Linked DNA regions of Callithrix jacchus. The protein of the gene in region 2 purifies or fractionates together with the protein of the main gene of each other region. This does not show direct contact. Links are inferred from orthologs where the notes say so. Each region holds a gene or a part of one and is shown on either strand. Other genes may lie near its edges. The genes, in order: SMAD4, PIAS4 and IKBKG.

What was found.
Region 1: the proteins of PIAS4 (region 2) and SMAD4 purify together in Homo sapiens (affinity purification with western blotting, with the first as the bait; 3 studies listed by BioGRID). This does not show direct contact. The link is inferred for Callithrix jacchus from reciprocal best matches to the Homo sapiens genes PIAS4 and SMAD4.
Region 3: the proteins of PIAS4 (region 2) and IKBKG purify together in Homo sapiens (affinity purification with western blotting; 5 studies listed by BioGRID, with this or other methods). This does not show direct contact. The link is inferred for Callithrix jacchus from reciprocal best matches to the Homo sapiens genes PIAS4 and IKBKG.

Annotation. Positions count from the first base shown.
Region 1 is NC_133514.1:94,257,137-94,261,422, reverse strand, and holds the start of SMAD4 (mothers against decapentaplegic homolog 4), read right to left. Parts: upstream 2,875-4,286; 5' UTR 2,469-2,874; intron 1-2,468. UniProt on the Homo sapiens protein: In muscle physiology, plays a central role in the balance between atrophy and hypertrophy. When recruited by MSTN, promotes atrophy response via phosphorylated SMAD2/4.
Region 2 is NC_133523.1:3,761,969-3,766,362, reverse strand, and holds the start of PIAS4 (E3 SUMO-protein ligase PIAS4), read right to left. Parts: upstream 2,916-4,394; 5' UTR 2,891-2,915; coding exon 2,864-2,890; intron 507-2,863; exon of another isoform or gene 217-506; intron 1-216.
Region 3 is NC_133524.1:150,333,553-150,337,945, reverse strand, and holds the start of IKBKG (NF-kappa-B essential modulator), read right to left. Parts: upstream 2,861-4,393; 5' UTR 2,762-2,860; intron 1-2,761. UniProt on the Homo sapiens protein: Regulatory subunit of the IKK core complex which phosphorylates inhibitors of NF-kappa-B thus leading to the dissociation of the inhibitor/NF-kappa-B complex and ultimately the degradation of the inhibitor.

The DNA.
Region 1 (4,286 bases), on a different chromosome or scaffold from region 2:
TCCCATTACTGGGTATATATCCAAAGGACTATAAATCGTTCTACTATAAGGACACATGCACATGCATGTTCATTGCAGCACTGTTTACAATAGCAAAGACCTGGAACCAACCCAAATGCCCATCGATGATAGACTGGATTGGGAAAATCTGGCACATATACACCATGGAATATTATGCAGCAATCAAAAATGATGAGTTCGTGTCATTTGTAGGGACATGGATGAATCTGGAGAACATCATTCTCAGCAAACTGACACAAGAACAGAAAATGAAATAACGCATGTTCTCACTCATAGGTGGGTGACGAAAAATGAGAACACATGGACACAGGGAAGGGAGTACTAAACACTGGGGTCTATTGGGGCAATAGGGAAGGGACGGGGGCGGGGCAGCTGGGGAGGGATAGCCTGGGGAGAAATGCCAAATGTGGGTGAAGGGGAGGAAGGCAGCAAAACACACTGCCATGTGTGTACCTATGCAATTGTCTTGCATGTTCTGCACATGTACCCCAAAACCTAAAATGCAATAAAAAAAAAAAAGAAAATGAAGCACAAGTTTTCTAAAATAAGATTTGCTGCCTCCTAGTATAGGCAGAATTGCTTCAAGCAGCAAAACTATCATAAAAAGTCAATCATCCACATAAAACTTATTCCAAAATATTTCAAAGTGAAATATTTCTCAGCACAAATTTTCATTAAGTCTGAAAAACAGATTTGCAATTTGTTTTTTTCTAAACTCAAGATTTACACTGAAGGCACTGACCTAAACAGAGCCATACACCCCCACTTCAAAAATAAAAAACCCAAGATGCCATACTTTTTAAAAACTCACCCGAAAACCTGGAAAGCAAGGAAAAAGCCACTTCTATTAATAAAGTTAAATATTGTAACAATTTTATCTAAAGAAGCTTTTGGTTTTAATTCCAACAACTTAAGCCTACATAATTCATCACCATCTTTAGATCTAAAGCTACTCCAAATTATAAATGCTTGGCCTATCTCTATTACATTTGTTCTTTAAGGAACCCATTTAAGTATACAAAATCATGACAGCATTATGGAAGAAACATTAATTTTAAAAATCCGTGTTTTTAAATGTTAATCATTTACAGTTTAGAATGTTATCTACTAATCACATCAGAACTTTCCAATATAGACAGAATAAGTCCTCAGCATAAAAAAAAAGTTGCACTTTAGAATTTCCTATATTTCAACTAAAAAATATATATCTAGTCTCGGCAGAGTATGGCAAAGTAATTTATGAAATCCACCATAAAAATTATTCAAATGCCATGTTCTAAACCTAATTACAACATTATGCATTTCATTTTTTTGAGACTCTAATAAATGTTTTTTGCCAGCAAAAAGTAGTGAATCTAATTCTTAAATACCCGAGTAACCAAGCTGCTACTAAGACTAAAAGGATTCTAATTCCGACAAAAGTCAAAAGGTTATTAACAAAAATTAGCTAAGATTGTATGTCTGCAGAAAGTCAACTCAGTCTAATTCCCTTATTATCTTGTTATATTTATTATTCCTAAGTAACTGGCAATTTCACCTTAAACTACGGTGCAAAAACTAAATGCATTAAGAAAGTAATTTGGAAATAAATGTGTGTGTGAGTGTGTGTGTGTGTGTGTGTGCGCGCGCGCGCTTTATTAAAAACAAATGTACTTAGGTTTTTGAGGGAAACAGCTATTAATATTCAGCAGGGCTTTGTAAAACCTCTGCACCAGCCAATAAACCTTTCAGGTTAACTAAACATACTCGTGTCTTTGAAAATCTAGTTTGAGAGATCCTAACAACAGTTTGGGGCAAGTGATGGAGCCACCGCCCTCCACCCTACACCCATTTCACTCTCAGTACACGTAGTGCTAACAGTAAGATCAACTGTGCCTTTTATTAGGGAGCATGTTATATAGGGGGAAGAAGGGGTTCAGTTAGGTGCTAAGAATGTGTCCGGCATACCACCGTCACTCTCAGTACTCAAAAACTAAACATATCAAAGACAGAAGCGTAAACTGGCATTGACACGACTAGGAAGAGAAAGTAAAGGACAAAGAGAAAACAGAAATTGGCTGGAGAAAATAAATTAAGACAAACAATTTACAACTTTCATTTAGACCGTAAGGCAACACACTCCAGCCGACCCAACGCGCTCAGCCCGGGCGACCAAGAAACTACTCCAGAACAACAAAGAGGAGCGGCGGCCGCGGCAGGAGTCCCGTCCGAGTTTAACTTGATTCTCGCACGAGCTGCTAGCGGAGCTGGGAGCTGGAGGGACGCGAGGCACCGCTACCCTGCATTCACCCAGCCCGCCCGGGCCGGCTCGTCAGGTAGCCACGGTCGCCCTCCCAGCGGATCCGCGCGCTCCCCGCCGCCGCCGGGAGCCCGCCCCGGGGCGGAGAAGCCGCGGGCGGGGTGCGCGGGCCAGGCCGGGGGAAGGGGAGGGGACATGGCGCGGTTACCTGGGCTCGGGCGGTGGCGAGGGGAGTCCGCTCTCCCGCCGCTGCTGGTCCGCGGACGCTCCGGGCCCGTCGCTTTCGCCCGCGGCCCGGAGAGCTCCTCGGCCCCCGCCCCGAGGCTTCCCGGCCAGGCCGCCTCTCCTCAGCGCTGCGCCGCTGCCCGCGCCGACCGGACCGCCTCGAGCTCCCGGGCAGCCCCGCGGCGGGGGGCCTCTCTCGCGAGGCACCCGGCTTCCCTCACCCGCTCCCACCCGCTGGGCGACTGCGGAGCCGAGGGGAGGGCGAGAAAGGCCTCCCGTTGAGAGCAGGAGGGCGCGAACGCAGGCTCCGCCACCCGAGCCGCTCCGTTACCGCAGCGGCGACGACGAGCAGGGCCGTGTTGTTGCTGCCAACTTGTCGAGAGAACACTGAGCATGCGCGCGCGGGGACCACATCCGGGTAATTTCAGGGTTTGGCCCTTTTCCCCCGCAGCTTTCCTTTCTCCCGGCTGCCCCCGCCTTCCGTCCCCCGCCCCCTGTGAAGGGGAGGGTCGCTCTGCGCAGGCGCCTGCCGGGCAGCGCCAGCCGGCGGGAGGCTCAGAGTCCCGGCCTCGGCCTGGGCCTGGGCCTGGGCCGCGATGCGGGCGGAGGGCGAAGGCCTGCTTGAGGGAGTGGTCGCCAGGGACACTGGCATCTCTTTGCAAAAAAGTACCCAAGCTGCGCAGGAGAGCTCGGCGTTGAGTGGGCGTCCAGTAAGTGTTTATAAACAGTGATTAGCCCGGCCTTTGTTGGTTTTTTGTTTTGTTTGGTGTTGAGGACCTGCGTAGGCACAAAAATTGGCCTTCAAGAGCCAGTCTACAGCTCGGAGGAGAACGTGGCTAGGTTGTAGCAGTTCACTTCGGTAAGAAACAGACGCTGGCCGCACCTTCCCTCTCCGGCAGCCCCGAATCACGAGCCCCAGAGGTGTTTAAACTCGAGAGACGCACAGGACAGTCAAGGAATCCCTTACTGAAGAGCCTTGCCAGGCGTTCCAAGTGTGGGTGGTTTTGTTGGAGGAGATACAGAGCACTCTCGGAGCTGGAGGGGAACTTCGACTCCTACTACACACCTATTAACTAGGTTATCTGTTTGTTCGGTGGGGAAAGGCATAGGCTCTGCTTTTGGCTTTATATTTCTTTTATTTCATTTTTTACAAGACGCATGCATTTCTTTTTTTAATTTAAAACGCATTAATGATATATTTTCACCAAGCAGGAACTACTTTGGGACTAGTTTTAGTCCCTCCAAAACTAATGATGAGCCAGTTCTAAAGTCATTTCTTAGGTCACGTAGCCCAGAACTCTCTACACCCACCGCATGCCTTCGCCACATAGATCCTCTGTGCCTCATTCTGTCCTCCACATCCTGGGCCATTTCCCCCCCACTTTTTTTTTTCTTTTAATGCCAGAAAGCCCCTAAAGCTTCAAACTGGTGTTCTCTTACCACTGGGGTTTATGAAGACCAGTTTTAAGGGATTTCATTTCCATATCTTCCGTTGCTATATGTTCTGTTTTCTAAAATTGCCCAGCTTGAGAAGGGAGCTAAGGACACAGCACCTGTTTTCAAAACTACCCTTCTCCCTCCCACCTTACAAAAGAAAGTCAGAATTCTTACTCATTATTAAGGTACACTGGGTCAATGCAGAACCTCCCCAGCAATCCAAAAGGGGCAATTCAAATATCGGTATCTATGCTGAGAAAGTAAATGACCTTAGGTGAAGGGTATTAAATTATTTTGCAAGTCGGATAGTTTTCCAATCTTTTCTGTCAACAAAACTGAAAGTAGATCTGTCAGCTAATAGATT
Region 2 (4,394 bases):
CGAGGCTCACAGAGGGAAGCAGCTGGCCCACAGCCTCCCTAGCACAAGCACGGAGGTGGCATCGGCCCCTGGGCCCCCAAGAGTGCTCCCGTCCGAGGCCCAGGGGACCCTCGCTCACCAGCACACTGGCTACGGGGACCTGCGTGGTCTGCTGGGCCTGAGTCAGCGAGGCTTTGCAAACAAAAATGCCTCATCCCTCTCGGCCTGACTTCCTACCTCATGCAGAAAACAAAAGGGCTTGCGGACAAGATGTTTCTTCTGGAAGCTGCCCAGGCCTTAGCAAGGAGAGGCGATGTCATGTGGACACTTCGCACTGGCAGCCCGGCCGAAGGCAGGTGGGCTTGGGAACCCGCTGACGTCCTGGCACCCCAGGAGCCCCTGCCCTGCCCAGGCTGGACAGTGGAGCTGCAGCTCCTGCTTTCCGGAGCACACCCCTTAGGCAGCCATATGTTCACGATTCAGATTTCCCGGCAGCTGCCACCTCGGAGGAGCCTGCCCTGGACACTGGAGGGGGGCAGGAGGACACGAATTCAGGAAGAAGCACCCAATGCCCCGAGATCACTTCCTGCCCTGGCTTCATCCTGACCCACCTGCCCTCAAAGCTGTGTTTATAAACAGCGCCAGGCCCAGGCCCTTCCGAGTTTCAACTCCAGGCTTGCCGGGAAGCCTCGTGGGGAGACAGCAGCCCAGAGACAGCAGCTGCGCTGAACCTTTCCTCCAGCACGGGGCCCTCGGAGCACCGGGGAAGCTCAGGAAGGCGCCCCTCTCCAGGAGAACAGAGATGTGTGTTGTGCTAAACGCTGTGGACTATTTCACGACACCCCTGCCCCAAAACCCGCCTCCAGACCCCAAGCAGAGGGTCTCAGATTTCAAAGTTCATTAACAAGCCCTCACCATTCAACCCTCCGAGCAGTCTGTGATGCACCCCAAAAGCAGAATCTGCAGCCATGAGTATGACAGGCTGGGGAAAGCCCCTGTAAAAAAGGGGATGTTTCGATGACCCTTAAGGCATTTGGAGGGATAGAAACGGACTCAAGGAGAAAGGCGGCCCCCCAAGGTCCCACCCCCTTGAATGGAGGCTCGCAATTTAGAGAGTCTGAAAGAAGGGGCAAACTTGATTTAACTGGGGGGCGGGGGTGGGTACCAGCCACCAAAGGGTCAAGGAAAAGTTCGTCAGATCGTATTTCAAGGCCTGGATGGTACGAAAGAGTGCAGACCCTGCCCTCAGCCAGGGTGGGGGTGGGGTCCAGGGTCACAGCTCCAAGTTGCGAGGTCTCCATGGAACTTCAAGCCCAGAGCCTGCCGCCTTGGGGTTACAGAGTTCAGGCCTCCACATCTCCAGGGTGTCTCCACTCTGCAAAACTCTAGGGAGCGGCAGAAGTGCGTGCGGAGTGAAGGCTTGGAAGGGTAAGAGGATTGGATGCTATCATCACAGAACCTTGAGGGCTGTGTTTTCAGATCCCAGCGGGTGATGAGGGAAGAAAATACGTACAGGTCAGGACCCCGGCGGGGAAGACCTAAAGTGGGGTGAGGGAGGGAGAGATCCCCTAACCTCCCTGGAAGCAGTGGCCTTGACGACACTTCTGAAGATTTTAGACGATCCTCAGCTCTAGGTAGCCACCTACAAGAAGGTACATCCCCAGGAACGGGGATACTCTGAGCTCCATCTCAGGACGATTAAAAGGTGTTCCAAGCTAGAAGGAGACGGCACCTACCGGACATGGGACCTGGACAGGGCCCAGACCGTGACAGAGAAGCAGCCGAAGTTATTCTAAAGAGGCCGGCCTCGGACCCAGTGGGGACCCTCCAAAGATCAAAATAAAGAGTATAAGCAGAAAGACAAGGAACCTCAGAAACCAAAGCTGGGGTGCAGACAGGTGCTGGGGGCTGTGCAGGGAGAAAGGGAGTCTGATCTTCGCAGCAGACTCGCTCAAGAGTAGGAAACAGAAGCGGCTAACTCTGGAGACAGTATCTGAGGCTGCACAGGTGAGGCTTAGAACCACGAGAAGCAAAACCAGTAACCTTAGATTCTGCCCCGCGGGGAACGACACAGGTCCAGGATGTCAGACTTGTTTTTAAAAAGGGGCGAGCAAGGAAGGTTTCTAACCAAGACAAGCGTTTGGGACTCCATCCCATGGCGAGGGTAAAGAGCCCAGCGTTCCCCCAGCGTCCACTCCGGTGTCTGAGAAACCGTGTCGGGAAGGGGGCGGGGTCCTGGGACCAATGCAGCAGCTGAAGACCGGCTCCAGCCCCCAAGAGGACGTGCTGTGTCTTGGGGTGGTCTCAGGGCCCTGATTTCTCCACCTGGACGGCGGTAGGACGCTATCCGGGACTGAGGGGACCCTTCGGAGCAGAGGACTCGCGAACCCCAGCCTGGCCTGTTGGGCGGGGACAAGACCCAGACACCAGTCCTGGGAGCCCTCCGGGCCGGTAAGCGCAGACACTCCTCCCGACACAAACCGGACAAATACCAGGGACTACGGCTCGGAAGCAAGAGGGCAACGAGAAGCTCAACCCATCCCGCAGCCCGGGGGCACGCTGCCTGAACCGGGAGGCGCGGCCCTGGCCCGGCGCTTGGGGACCCGGACCCTAAAGGCTCCGGCTGGGTGGGGGAACCCTGCCTGAAGCTGGGGGAGCGACCCCTGGCGCGAAGACCCGGGTGAGGCAGGAGGGCCCCGCCCCCGGCCTCCCCGCCCCCCCGCCCTCACCCTGAGCCCTGGGGTCGGGGTCTGGGGGCCGGGACGGCGAGCCGCGGGCGGACCGCGCTGTGGGGCCCCGGACGGAAGGCGCAGACCTGGACCCGCGGCCCGGCCCCCGCCCTTTCGCCCACTTGCCCCGGCCGGCGCCGCCGCCGCTCACTCACTTTGGCCTCCACCAGCTCCGCCGCCATCTTGGCCACCAGCGTCCCCCGCGCCGGGAGCCCCCAGCCGTCGCGTCACGTGACCTCCCACCACTCGCGGGCGGGGCCGCCGCCCGGGCCAATTAGCACCCGCGCGCGCTCCTCCCGCCGCCGGCGGGCGCTGCTGCGTCCTGCGCAGGCGCGCGCGGCCGCCGCCCGGGCCTAGGGCCAATCAGGTCCGCCCTACACCAGCCCCTCCCTCCTTCCCTCGTCTTCTCTAGCTCGCGGCGACCACGCCCACCCCTGGCGGCGTCTGACTCCTTAAAGGGGTACGAGCTCTGCACAGGTGGGGACGGGTGTGGGTCGCCTCGAAGGAGGGAAGGAGGGAGGGAAGGAAGGAAGGAGGGAGGGGGGCAGTGGCAGCGACCACAATGCGGCCAGGTGACGCGGCTTCTTCCGCCAGGTGCGTATCCAGACTCCCGGCGGCGTCAGGGAGGAGACGGTTGCTCCGCCGCAACGACCGCCAGTGCGTGCAGTGCGACGCCTTGCAGCGCACCGCGGTGCACGCTCCACGGGCCCCGACGCCCCGCGCGCTGCACATCCGGGTCCTGGCGTGCAGATGGGGCGTGGGCTCGGCACCCTGCTGGCTGGCGCTAGGCGGAGAAAAGCGGGACCGCGGCTCCCAAATGCCGCGGAGCTCGTGCAGCTCTCACCTCTTTGCAGGCGCCCTCTCCCATCCTGCTTCCCACCCTTGGGAAACCCTGGAATCCGCACCAGCTGCAGATTCCAAAGCGCTCCTTGGCTCCCTAGTGCCCGTAGAATTTAAGTTCAGACTTCAGTAATCAACTATTTTAGTGCAGTTTATTTTTTATTTTAGTTTTTGTAGAGACGGGATCTCATTATGTTGTCCAGGCTGATCTCGAACGTCTGGGTTTAAATGATCCTCCTGCCTGGGCCTCACAAAGTGCTGGGATCACAGGCGGGAGTCACCACACCTGGCGAGTCCAATACTTTTAATATTAAAAAAAAAAAAAAAAATCAGGCTGGGCGCGGTGGCTCAAGCCTGTAATCCCAGCACTGTGGGAGGCCGAGGCGGGTGGATCACGAGGTCGAGAGATCGAGACCAACCTGGTCAACATGGTGAAACCCCGTCTCTACTAAAAATGCAAAAAATTAGCCGGGCATGGTGGCGCGTGCCTGTAATCCCTGATACTCAGGAGGCTGAGGCGGGAGAATTGCCTGAACCCAGGAGGCGGAGGTTGCGGTGAGCCGAGATCGCGCCATTGCACTCCAGCCTGGGTAACAAGAGCAAAACTCCGTCTCAAAAAAAAAAGGCAAAAAAGTTCATGATGGATGAAATAATAAATTTTTTTCTTTTTTTGCAGAGACAGTTGTCACCATGTAGCTCTTGTCGCCCAGGCTGGAGTGCAATGGTGTCTTCTCAGCTTACTGCAACCTCTACCTCCCAGGTTCAAGCAATTCTTCTGCCTCAGCCTCCCGAGTAGTTGGGAGTACAGGTGCCCACCACCACGCCTAGCTAATTTTTGTATTTTTA
Region 3 (4,393 bases), on a different chromosome or scaffold from region 2:
GTAATCCCTGCTACTCAGGAGGCTGAGGCAGAGGTTTCGCCATGAGCCAAGATTTCACCATTCCACTCCAGTCTGGGTGACAAGCGCAGAACTCCAGTTCAAAAAAAAAAGTATCTTATAACCTTGAGCAAGAGCTCTCTCAAAACTAATGAGCTCTTCCTCATCACGCGTCCCTGAGTGCTGGATGAGCTTAGTGGTTCTTTGTTCACGTACAACAATGCAGTGTCACACTTTGCAAACCTGCTCCTTGACACCTTTGTACTTCTGATCAGAACTTAGAAAAGGAATGAGGAGGCAGCCGAGGGAGAAGTAAGGAAGGGCCACCCCAAGCACTGTCCTCTGACTCCCCATATGCCTGAGACCCAGGAGAGGTACCCAGGTGGAGCCCACAGTGGATTGGGCTTGCCTTCAGCCCCAGCCTAGTCCTCTCAGAAGAGCCATACCTGGCCAGGCCCTGTGACTCACAGCTGTAGTCCCAACACTTTGGGAGACCAAGGCGGGCAATCACCTGAGGTCAAGAGTTTGAGACTAGCTTAGTCAGCATGGCAAAACCCTGTCTCTACTAAAAATACAAAAATTAGCCAGGCATGGTGGCGCCTGCCTGTAATCCCAGCTACTCAGAAAGGTGAGGCAGGAGAATTGCTTGAACCTGGGAGGCAGAGGTTGCAGTGATCCAGCCTGCGCAACAGAATGAATGAGATTCCATGTCAAAAAAAATTAAAAGAGCCATACCTGCATCAGTCACAAACCTTACCACCTAGGACTCTGACCATTAAGCCCTTAGTGCAAGAAGCAGACTAGAGGAGAAGGTAACTGAGGATGCTTTCTCCTTTCCCTGTCTCCACCCCATGCTGTCACAAGGACACTACAACACAGCAGCCCAGGCCACAATGATGGCTTATGACTCCAGGCCTTCAGCTCTCATTAGACAACCTCACTGAGCATCCAAACTTGTTGTGTGACTTGGAGCAAGTGTTTTCCTTTCTCTGACTGTCAGCATTTCATGTAGCAAATGACAGCTTTTGAAACAAGTGCCCAGGGTCCTTAGGGTTTTCCAAGCTGATTGTGTCATTTCACTTTCTTCACTTGTGGCCAGCTTGGTATTGGGCAACTTTGTTTCATTGAAATCAGTAGGGTTCCCCTTTGCTCTCCTCTGCTCTGACGGTGCCAGCTCCAGCACTGTGGGTAGAGGACAAGGGGTCCTCTCTCTGAAGGGCCTTGTGGTTGGTTTCTTCCTCTTCCTGCTGCGGGTGGGGGTGGCGTGCTCAGGCAGCACCTGGAGCAGCTCCCACTCCCAGGCTCCTTCCGTGCCCGATGCCTCACTCGATGCACTTGGGGGCACCCAATCCTAGAATCTGTTGCTCCAGGAAAATAGCCCATTTTCCATTCATTTAGAAGAGAGTGATCGGGCACTTCTGGGCCACAGTAGCCAGTCCCTGCCCTCCTCATGGGACCTATGTGCTGTGGTGGCCAGGGAACCACAGCAAGTAAGCAGAAGATACATGTGGGCCCTGTGTTCCCAGCCCCCCAGAGCGCATAGATCCCACAAGGAGGGCCTGGAGAGCAAGCCTGCCGGGGCAGGCTGAGGAGCACCCACACAAAAGGAAGAGCAAATGCCTGAAGCCCTGAGTTGGGAACTAGCTTGGCGTGACCTAGAAACTGCAAGCAGGCAAGTGGCTGGCAGACCCACAGCCAGGGAAGCGGGACACCCTGGGGCAGGCTGTACCCACGTGGCCTTCATCTGTCCCTTCCTCCTCCTGGCCAGCTTACGCAACACTTGCGCACACACCCAGCTTCCTTCCTGGGGGCCCTGATGACGGCTCAGAGTTACCAAGTGGGCCACTTCCCACCTTCTCAGGACTCCCACCCCTACCAGGGAGTGAGGGGAAGAGACTGGGACTGAGAGTCTACGGGTTCCTCACCTGTCTGGGCCTCAGATTCCCCACCTGGATCACAAGGGCCATGGGCTTGCTGGGCGTTCAGCGGCCCCCACCCCTCCCTTTCCTCGGAACATTTCTGGGCTGACTTCTCCGTTGGTCCGATAAGATTCTTGCTGTGTCATGATGATGTTGGCACTCTCCCAAAGACCCGGTGACTCATGAGCCCCTGGGTTTAGGAGGGAGGCCCTTTCGTTGGTTTTTCAACTGAGCTAACTCAGCAGCCCCCAGGTTCTCGGGCTCCACCCAGGGAGTCTGGGCAGGTCCTTGACCCTAGCGACCCTTGGGGATGGGGTGGCCTACCCCTGCTGGCTCTCCAGCAGGCATCGCCCTCTACCATGAAACCCTCACGCCAAGACGAGCTGTAGCGATTTGGGTTTATAAAACAGGTCGTGGCCTAGGTCCCTTTGCCCTGGCCGAGCCAGACATTGGTGGCTGGAGATCTTAATCGTGTCCTGCTTCTACTAAGTCACCCTGTGTCCTCAAGAAGGTCCCTCCCCTGCTGTGGTCCTCAGGAAAGAGGAGGGCGTGGGGAAAATGAGAAGCTCCCAGCTGCTTCTCACTAAGGATCCCTTGAATTGCCCCCACCCACATGGCAGGAGTAGACTCTTGACTAAGCTGTCAGGTTTTCCCATGTCTTCCTGTACTTGTCCCTCCAGAAAGTCCCACTAGAGCGCTGCAGCCAGCTGGGAGGGCAGGGCTAGCCCTGAGCCCTGAGGAGAGCAGCTCAGTCTGGCTCTGCTCGGCTCAGCTCAGCTTAGCTCCTCGTCACCATGGGAAAGAGCTGCCTGGCCTTCCCCCACCCACGCCATCCTCTGTCTTACCTCGACTCACTTCTCTCAGGTGACTCGGATCCCAGCAGACAGTCGGTTGCAGGGGCTGAGCTGGAACAAGGCGAACAGGTTCAATCTCCAGTTAATCCCAAAGGGAGCAGCAGGAACAAACAGCCTGGAGCGTGGGGCCGCTGTGACTCAGCAGACCAGTCCCCTGCCAACAGTACCTTCCTGTAGTCTGTCCCAATGCCTCCTGATCTACCAGAATTTGGTCATGAGCAAACATGACCTGCTTTGAGTGAGGCTTAGAGGTATTTGCAGGCTGTGGTTATTACCGTTTCATTCAGGGACAAGTTAGTTCCCAGCGAGCTGGCCCTTTCTGTGTGCGGGGACAACCCTGAGTTGATGTGCCATGGCCAGTGTTCCCCTCCCCAGTCTGATGGCAGGGTGCTGTGAGGAGCAGAGTGGAGGAACTCCTACCCCAGGGTGAGGGGTCGTCTGAGGTGGACTTGGAAGGATGCAGAAGCAAGAGGTCCTTGTGGCTTCAGGGAGCAGCAAGTTGGATGCTAGGAGGGCTGCACTGGGCTTCATGTCGGGTAGTGATGGGTGAGAAGGTCTCATGGGTGGTCCAAGACCAGCTGGTGGCAGGGCTGGAACTTTATTTTCAAGACGGTCACTGCAGCATCTGGGGGGCAAAGAGACCATTTATAAAACTTTCATGTGGCAGTTACAGGAGAGCCCCACTCCAGAGTGCTCAAGAGATAAATGGCAGGTGGCTAGGAGCCCCCCGATACCAACACAGGCAACCCTGGTTTGGGAACAGCCCACTGTGGGGATGCTGAGGTCCCAGTGCAGCCTGGAGATGACCCACAGACACTTGTAACTGGGCCGGGAAGAAACTCAGGAGCAGTCTGCCTGCAGCTCCCACCTGAAGCCCTGCACCGAGCTCACCCAAGGAGGGGCAGAAGCAGAGCACACAAGGGATGCACACCATAGCAATTTCCCACCTGGAAGCCCCCGGTGGCTTCCTAACTGCCTGTTTCATGGGGGCATGTGTCCTGGTGGCATGGCCTCCATTCTATAATGGTTCATAGAAACGGACCCATCCATGATTGCAGTGTCTGATCGCTTTGAAGAGCATGTCTTTTGTTTTCATCTGTGTGTGTGAGATGGAGTCTCGCTCTGTCACCCAGGCTGGAGTGCAATGGCGTGGTCTTGGCTCACCACAACCTCTGCCTCCCAGGTTCAAGTGATTCTCCTGCCTCAGCCTCCCGAGTAGCTGGGACTACAGGCATGCACCACCATGCCCAGCTTATTTTTTGTATTTTTAGTAGAAACAGCGTTTTACCAGGTTGGCCAGGATTGTTTTGATCTCTTGACGTCGTGATCCACCTGCCCTGGTCTTCCAAAGTGCTGGGATTACAGGCGTGAGCTACAATGCCTAGACTGTCTATTACTTTTTATCATGTTTTACTGAAATATATGTCACGCCCAGGTGCAGTGGCTCACACCTATAATCCCAGCCCTTTGGGAGGCCAAGGCAGGCAGATCACCTGAAGTCAGGAGTTTGAGACCAGCCTGGCTAACCCATCTGGGGGAAACCCATCTCTACTAAAAATACAATAATTACTCAGGCTCTGTATCAGATGCCTGGAGTCCCAGCTACTCAGGAGGCTAAGGCAG